2 linked regions of the Oryctolagus cuniculus genome follow. The protein of the gene in region 2 purifies or fractionates together with the protein of the main gene of each other region. This does not show direct contact. Links are inferred from orthologs where the notes say so. Each region holds a gene or a part of one and is shown on either strand. Other genes may lie near its edges.

Evidence for each region. Proteins that work in one complex are often made in the same cells at the same time.
Region 1: the proteins of SNRNP70 (region 2) and GEMIN2 purify together in Homo sapiens (affinity purification with mass spectrometry; 5 studies listed by BioGRID and IntAct, counting the BioPlex papers as one, with this or other methods). This does not show direct contact. The link is inferred for Oryctolagus cuniculus from reciprocal best matches to the Homo sapiens genes SNRNP70 and GEMIN2.

The regions. Positions count from the first base shown.
Region 1 is NC_091443.1:36,514,768-36,518,411, reverse strand, and holds part of GEMIN2 (gem-associated protein 2), read left to right. Parts: intron 1-2,063; coding exon 2,064-2,132; intron 2,133-3,236; coding exon 3,237-3,347; intron 3,348-3,644. UniProt on the Homo sapiens protein: The SMN complex catalyzes the assembly of small nuclear ribonucleoproteins (snRNPs), the building blocks of the spliceosome, and thereby plays an important role in the splicing of cellular pre-mRNAs.
Region 2 is NC_091449.1:8,223,389-8,227,667, forward strand, and holds the start of SNRNP70 (U1 small nuclear ribonucleoprotein 70 kDa), read right to left. Parts: upstream 2,878-4,279; 5' UTR 2,611-2,877; intron 2,099-2,610; 5' UTR 2,089-2,098; coding exon 1,942-2,088; intron 1-1,941. UniProt on the Homo sapiens protein: Component of the spliceosomal U1 snRNP, which is essential for recognition of the pre-mRNA 5' splice-site and the subsequent assembly of the spliceosome. SNRNP70 binds to the loop I region of U1-snRNA.

The DNA of each region.
Region 1 (3,644 bases), on a different chromosome or scaffold from region 2:
TTTTTGGTAAGCCATATTTGAATAAGCCACAGGATGTTTTTTCAAGAGTTTGATAAATTCTACCTGTATAGCTGTAAAACAGGTCTTTCTAGATTTGTTTCTTCAGATTTGTACTTTGTTTTGAATTGAGAAATGGACTAAAGGTAAAGACTCTTTTTTTGAAGAGTTTGTCAAGTTTTTCAAATAGTTTTAAATTATATTAGTAGTTACAAACTAAATCCTAGTATTTTAATCAAGGCATTCATTGATATTTGAAAGTATAGGAATATTTGTCTTAGAAGCCTATTCCCACCCCAAATCCCCTTAAGCTGGATGGTAAAAATAGCATTTTAAGTGTTAAAGCATTCATATAAATAGGAGTAAGTGTCTGGATTACATTTCTGTAATAATAGAATTAAAAAGGAGTCAATGCTCCAACATGGGCATCAGTTCATAAAGCAGACTGATAGAATGACAATTGCTTTAAGTAGCACTCTGACCTCAGAATCAGCCCTTAAAGCATTCTGGTCTACCTGAAAAGCCCATGGAGATCATTTCAGGCATGGAAAGCCAAGACACTATGGCAAAAAATGTCCTACATGAAGGACTTCTGTGGGTGAAACTCCAGTAGAAGTGGTGGTCATCAAAGAAGGATGTACTTTTTTCTGCAGGGAGGAGAGAACTTCCACTTTGCTTATGGCCTTGTCTAAATTTTAACAAATTCTGACTTAATTAACTTTAAAGAAGCACCAAGAACGATACATCTTTTGTGAGCAATTAGACATACCTATAACTTATAAGACCTTGATTTATACAGTAAAAGAAAATAAGTCCATACAGTTCTGACGGAGTTTGTGAATTCAGAAGGCTTACATACCTTAGACAGCACTTGTCAAGAGCCTCAGGTGGTCACTGACATCATACATAAGAGTGTTAATTGTTAAATTAACAACAGGAGTCATTGTGCACTAACTTCCCATGCAAGACCTCTGTCCTCCAAAGAGTTGTGTTATCATAGTTAACAGTGAAACTTGTTCTCAAAGATTTATTTTGTTTTAGTGTATTAAGTGAATGATATTTTTAAGTCTCATAAGTTTTACATCTGCCTAAGTGTCCAACTCCTTTGCTTGTTTTCTTAGGTGCTTCCTTAACTAATGATAAAATTTGTTCTCAAGGACTTATTTTCTTTTATTAAGTGGAGGTCTTATGTCTCATAAGTTATAGTTATGTCTAATTGCTCCCAAAAGATGTATCATTCTTGAATGCTTCTTTAAACTTAATTTTCTCAAAAAAAAAAAAAAAGGTAAAATTAACTTCGAGATATAATGACCTTGAACAGCCCTTGTCTCAAGTGTTGAGAAACAGTTTTGTGTGTGTGTGTGCAAATTGTTGAACTCTTTACTTAGTATAGAGTTGATCTTCTGTGTATAAAGTTGATTGAAAATGCATCTTAGGGCCGGTGCTGTAGCTCAGTAGGCTAATCCTCCGCCTTGTGGCACTGGCACACCGGGTTCTAGTCCCGGTCGGGGCGCCGGATTCTGTCCCGGTTGCCCCTCTTCCAGGCCAGCTCTCTGTTGTGGCCCGGGAGTGCAGTGGAGGATGGCCCAAGTGCTTGGGCCCTGCACCCCATGGGAGACCAGGAGAAGCACCTGGCTCCTGGCTTCGGATCAGCACGGTGCGCCAGCTGCAGCGCGCTGGCCGTGGCGGCCATTGGAGGGTATGCATCTTAGTGGAGAATGGGACTGGGAATGGGAGAGGGAAGAAGAAGAGGGGTGGGAGTGTGGGTAGGAGGGAGGGCAGGTATGATGGGAAGAATTACTGTATTCCTAAATTTGTACTTAAGAAATTCTGAAGTTTGTATTCCTTAAATAAAAGGTTTCTTTGGTTTTTTTGGAAAAAAGAAAGCCTATTCCCAGAGGTGACTCTTATTAATGAGTCAGTTTTCTTTGGAAATCTAAAGAATGAGACAATCTTAAATGTTGCTTTCTAACTAAATTTAGTGAAACTCCTATTGAATTTGTCAGTATTTATTACTAATATTATAACTGTTCTGTGCCACTATCCCCCCCCCCCCTTCTTTTTAGGCAACAGTAACTAGTGTCTTGGAATATCTGAGTAATTGGTTTGGAGAAAGAGACTTTACTCCAGAATTGGTAGTGTTATCTTTTTATTTTCATAATTCAGTTTTATTTTCATAGGATACATGAGGTGTGACTGTATGGTATTTGTGTGTGTGTGTGTGTATACTCAAATGTGTTACTAGCCTTGTGCCACACCATGATGTTTTTGGGCAAGGAGGGCTTCATCTACAGTAGTGGTCCTCTAAGATTATATAGCCTGGTCTTAGTTTGTGTAAGTACTTGCTATGTGTATGCATAATGACATGATAGCCTGATAATGTATTTCTCAGAATGTGGCCCTGTCCTTAAGTGATACATGACAGTATACGTGTAATCTGAACTATGCTTGTTTGTGGTGCAATAAGGAACCTACACCAGGGTGTAAATCAACATACTGCTTCCTTCGTTGACAAAGTCTTCCTTTGGCAGGGAGGGGGAAGAGGACAAATGTCAACCAAAGAGTTAATTTATATCCTGGTACAAACTACTTATCTCAGTGCTGAGCAGTAACAGTGTGCTCACAGGCTGGCAACAAGTCTGCAAACCCCACTTCCAGTGGCACTGGTTAAAGTTTAGAATGCATTTTCTAAAATGACCTTGAAATCAGTCCACAAAAGGATCAGAAGTAACAACAACAGCAAGTACTACATGCTAGACATTATTCTAAGAACCTTACATATAATAATTCATTGGGCCCTCAACAATTTATTAACTGTTATTATCCACAATACTCAATTAACATAATACAGCTTGTAATTGGCAGAATTCAGACTCAAGTCAGGGCAGTCTGGCTCTATTTCTACACTGTTAGAACTATGCTACACTGTGTTTACTTTATTGCTTTATATTCACAACTCATTTTTTTTTGGCCTTAAAAGTTGGGTTAATTTGATGAATATTTTTAAATGAATTACCTGTTTGTTCTTTCTAATTTTAATAAATTTTATCATCTTTGAAAGATTTAGTTTTTAGAAACCAGCAGTGTTTCACAGCTAAAGATATTTGTGAAAGAGTGTATCTGAGGGTCTAAATGTAACACAGTAATGAGTTGTATGAATTTATTCATGGAAGATAACCAGGCACAGCTTAGAATATTTAAACTTGTGATTTAATAGTTTTTTTTTTAATCCTATTTAGGGAAGATGGCTTTATGCTTTATTGGCTTGTCTTGAAAAACCTTTATTACCTGAGGCTCACTCATTGATTCGGCAGCTTGCAAGAAGGTGCTCTGAAGTGAGGCTCTTAGTGGTAAGTTTCACCTCACTTTTCCAAATTGAAAGCATCCAGCAGTTTTTATAGTGGTGAAAAATTCCAATAGAAGGGAGACCTTTGGCATATTTTGTTAGTTGCAATTAGAATTGGCCACATAACAAGAAAGTGGAAAATACTAGCAACTTAAATAAAATGGCATTGTTGTCCTCAGATAAAGGAAGTAGGCAGACAAGATGTAATATAGCAGTAACCCAGGCCTTTGGGTTCTGCCACATGTGGCTTCCTCAGGTTCATCTCAGGATTCCAGATGCCTGCTGGAGTTTTGGCCATTAT
Region 2 (4,279 bases):
TCTCCTGGTCTCCCATGGGGTGCAGGGGCCAACCACTTGGGCCATCCTCCACTGCACTCCCTGGCCACAGCAGAGAGCTGGACTGGAAGAGGGGCAGCCGGGACTAGAACCCGGTGCACATATGGGATGCCGGTGCTGCAGGCAGAGGATTAACCAAGTGAACCACGGCGCCAGCCCCAGGTGTTTCTTTTGAAAACCCCAAGAGCTGACACATGGCACAGTGAAGCTGCCACCTGTGGCGCCAGCATCCTCTATCAGAGTGCCGGCTGGAATCCAGCTGCTCCACTTACAATCCACCTCCCTAATGCGCCTGGGAAAGCAGCAGACGATGGTCTGAGTGCTTGGTCTCTGTCATCCACGTGGGAGACCTGGACAGAGTTCCTGGTTTCTAGTTTTGGCCTGGCCCAGCCATAGCTTCTGCAGCCATCTGTGGAGTGAGCCAGTGGACAGAAGACCTGTCTCTCCCTCTCTCCTTCTCATTCAAAATAATCTCACTACATTTATTGAAATTTTCAATCTTGGGCTGTTGCAGCAGCGTGGAAGATGAAACCTCTCTACAGCGCTGCATCCCACACAGGCACTGGTTTGAGTCCCGGCTGCTTCACTTCTGGTCCAGCTAAGGCCTGGGAAAGCAGCAGACGATGGTCCAAGTGCGTGGACCTCTGCACCTTCACAGGAGACCCAGAAGAAACTCCTGACTTCTGGCTTCAGACCAGCACAGCTCCAGCCACTGCGGCCATGTGGGGAGTGAACCAGTGGACGCAAGACCTTTCTGTCTCTCCCCTCCTCCTCTGTAACTCTGCCTTTCAATTAAATAAATACTAATTCCTTTAAGATAGTCTCACAGGTCCCTGTCTTGCACCGACGACGACGTGTCTGAGGACGTGACAAAGCAGAGTGGGGGCGGGGGCGCTTGCTCAGGAGAGCAGCAGCAGGAGCTGACACCTGGGCACGTCCTGAGGGCCAGGCAGCTCTCTGAGCCCTCGCAGCCACTCCGTAGGCAGCGATCACCAGACAGAGTTGCTGGCCTGTGCCCATTAAATTAATTTAATTGGCTAATAACACTTCCCAAGCACGAGTTCACTGGGAGTGGCCAATCCAGTAAGAGCCACCTTGTGTCACCTCGGCTCTGGAGCCTCCATCGCAGCCTCTCCCTACAGCACTGGAGCGGCCTGTGACACGGACCGCCCTGAGGCGGGGTCATCACCCGACCTTACAAATGAAAACACTGAGATCCCGGAGCCTAAGCTGCACCAACGGTGACCCACAGTGCAGATCTGAGAGCCCCAGGCTACGGTCTTAATTACGCCACCCACACAGTGCCAATTCTTCAGGAACGACACTCCGTTAACAAGAACGGCAAATACAGGGGCCGGTGCTGTGGCACGGTGGGTTAACACCCCAGCCTGCAGCGCCAGCATCCCATAGGGGCTGCCAATTCGACTCTCCGCTGCTCCACTTCTGATCCAGCTCTCTGCCACGGCCTGGGAACGCAGTATAAGACGACCCAGGTCCTTGGGCCCCTGCACCCGTGTGGGAGTCAGGGAAGCTCCCGGCTTCGGATCAGCTCAGTTATGGCTGTTGCGGCCATCTGGGGAGTGAACAAGTGGATGGAAGACCCCTCTCTCTCTAACTCCATCTTTCAAATAAAGAAAAATAAATGTTTTAAAAACATGGCAAATACAGTCACAAATGCTGACACGTATCGACTGCTTGGTACCAAGCGCTCTGCCGTAAATGCTATTTATTCTCCGTCCTGCTGTCAAAGACAGCGAATGCATCGTGGGGATTCTGTACCGCCCAAGACCACACAGCAGAGAAGCACCCGGCGTCCGCGGCCGACCCCTCCCGCCGCGTCCTCCCCAGCGCCTTCCAGGGGCTGCCCTGCCAGGCCCCCCGAGGCCTGGAAGTGTCCACAGCCGCGAAGCCGGCCTGGCTCACCTCGAACTCCCGGATGTAGGGCGCGATGCCGCAGTAGGGCTGGTTGTGGTGCTTCTCGTGCGGCAGCTTTTCCAGGGGCGGCAGGTAGGGGATGGGGTCCCGGGGAGCGAAGAGGGCCAGGAGGTTGGGCGGCAGGAACTGGGTCATCTTGCCAGGTCTGGGGAGAGAGGGTCAAGGCCTTGTGGCGGCTGCCTCGCCCGGGGAGCGCGCCGCCGCCGCCGCCGCCGCCGGGGGAACAAAGGCCGAAGCGCGGGCGAGCGGGCAGTCGGGGCTGCGGCCGAGGGAGGCGCCCGGGGCGGGGGTCGCAGGCGCTGGGTAGCCGGAAGTCGGCGCGCACCCCGCTCCCCGCCCCCACCACGCAGGGGCTTGTGGGTAGCAGGTCTGGGCTCCCGGCGGCGAGAGGCATTGTGGGTAATGGTCCAGGGCGCCCCGAGAAGCGAGGGAGGGGGCGGGGAAAGGGCAACAAACGCGCAAGGGCCTGTGGGAAGGGGACGGCGGCGGGCGGGGGCGTGTTTTGGGGAGAGCGCCGAGTGTCCGGGAAATTCTAGGCGAGGGCCGCGGAACGGTGCTGCAGGGGGGACGCGGCCGTCAGGGAGGGGACCCCGGCCCACCGCAGGGGCTTGTGGGTAGCGGCCCCGCACCCCCTCAAGACCACTGGGTCCCACTCACCCGCCGCGCGGTGCCCTCCTCGGCCTGGCGTCGGTCCGGGGGCTCGCGGCGGCTGCGGCGGCCCTTCAGCAACAAGCACTCCTGCTCCGGCTTCGACTCCGGCGCCGTCGGACTCGGTCGCCCGCCCCCCGCGCGCGCAGCAGGCCTCTGCTCGCGAGCCCGCGCGGCTTCGGCTCGCAACGGGAGCAGGAGGTGGAGCCCGGCCTCAAATCCCTCCGCCGTCGCCCTGCGCACGCGCAGCGCCAGCCGCGCGCAACCGACCTACAGACACCGGGGCCGCCGCGGGCACGGCGCACGCGCGAGGCCCTTGCCCCGCCTCCCGGCGCCTTCAACTGCGTGCCGCGGCTGGCTGCGGCCGTACTACGCACGCGCGCTCGTCCCCAAGCGCCGCTTTCCACCTCGCGCCTGGACTCCAACCGCCTTTGCCCGCGAGGCTCATCCCGAAGCCCCGCCCCCTTACCTAGCACACTTCCCGGATCTTTGGCGCATGCGCATTGACTAGAGAACGGGTAATACCCTTCCGCCACCTGGCAAAGAGTCCCTACGGGAATAGTGTTGGTTGCGTTGATCGTCCGGCTAGTGGGCGTCCAGCAATCGCTGTTTAGGCGCTGGAGGTGTGAAAACCTGATTTTTGGTTCCTTACTTTGTACTGAGGGAGAGTGTAAAGGTATTTAGATGAAAAATACAACTTCAGGTAGTGGCCATCTCAAGGACAAGAGCAGGGTGGGGGGCGGGAGGGGACAGCGAGGGGGACAGAGGCGCCCAGGGCGATCGGGGCGCGGCTAACGGCAGGTGCCCAGGGCCTGAGCTGGGACGGGCATTTCCTGGGTGTCCTGCATGGGCACTTGGTCCCAGGACCGAATTCTGCCCGTGAGTGTGAAATGGCCCGCTGCTCACTTAACGATGCCTAACACAATGTGAAGCCTGCGCCAAAATTATCCTTTATCATTTAGGGCATGAAGAAAAGTCTGCGTGTTCAGTACAGACGCGCTGTTTGCTTTCTGGAATGTTTCGGGTGCACAGCCCGTGGTGGTGGAGAGTGGACCGCACTGTGCTTGATGCCTTTAGGGGGAGCTCCGTTGCCTCGTTCATGATACCCAGATTACTAACTTCACTTTTTTGGCACAATTTTTACTTATTGGGAAGGAGAGGGACGCAGAGCGGTCTTGCTGGTTCACCCCCGAGACGCCCACGACAGCCAGGGCTGGCTCACAAGTCCTGGGGCGCATTGAGTGAGGTGCGGTCGCCGGGACCTGCGTGGGCGTCGTTTCTGAAATCCTTGCAGGGGTCAGGGGCTGGCGCTGGGACACCGGGCAGCCCCACCGGCGAGGCTGGCGTCCCAGCTGCTGCGTTTCCCGCCAGCTCCCTGGCCAGGGGCCCGAGCAGAGGAAGACGGCCTGTGTGGGAGGCCTGGGTGGGGTCCTGGCTCCTGGCTTCAGCCTGGCCCAATCGCAGACATTTGGGAAGCGAACCAGCAGACGGAAGATCTCTGTCTCTGTCTCTGTCTCTCTCTTTTTTTTTTTTTTTTTTGACAGGCAGAGTGGACAGTGAGAGAGACAGAGAGAAAGGTCTTCCTTTGCCGTTGGTTCACCCTCCAATGGCCGCCGCGGCTGGCGCACCATGCTGATCCGATGGCAGGAGCCAGGTGCTTCTCCTGGTCTCCCATGGG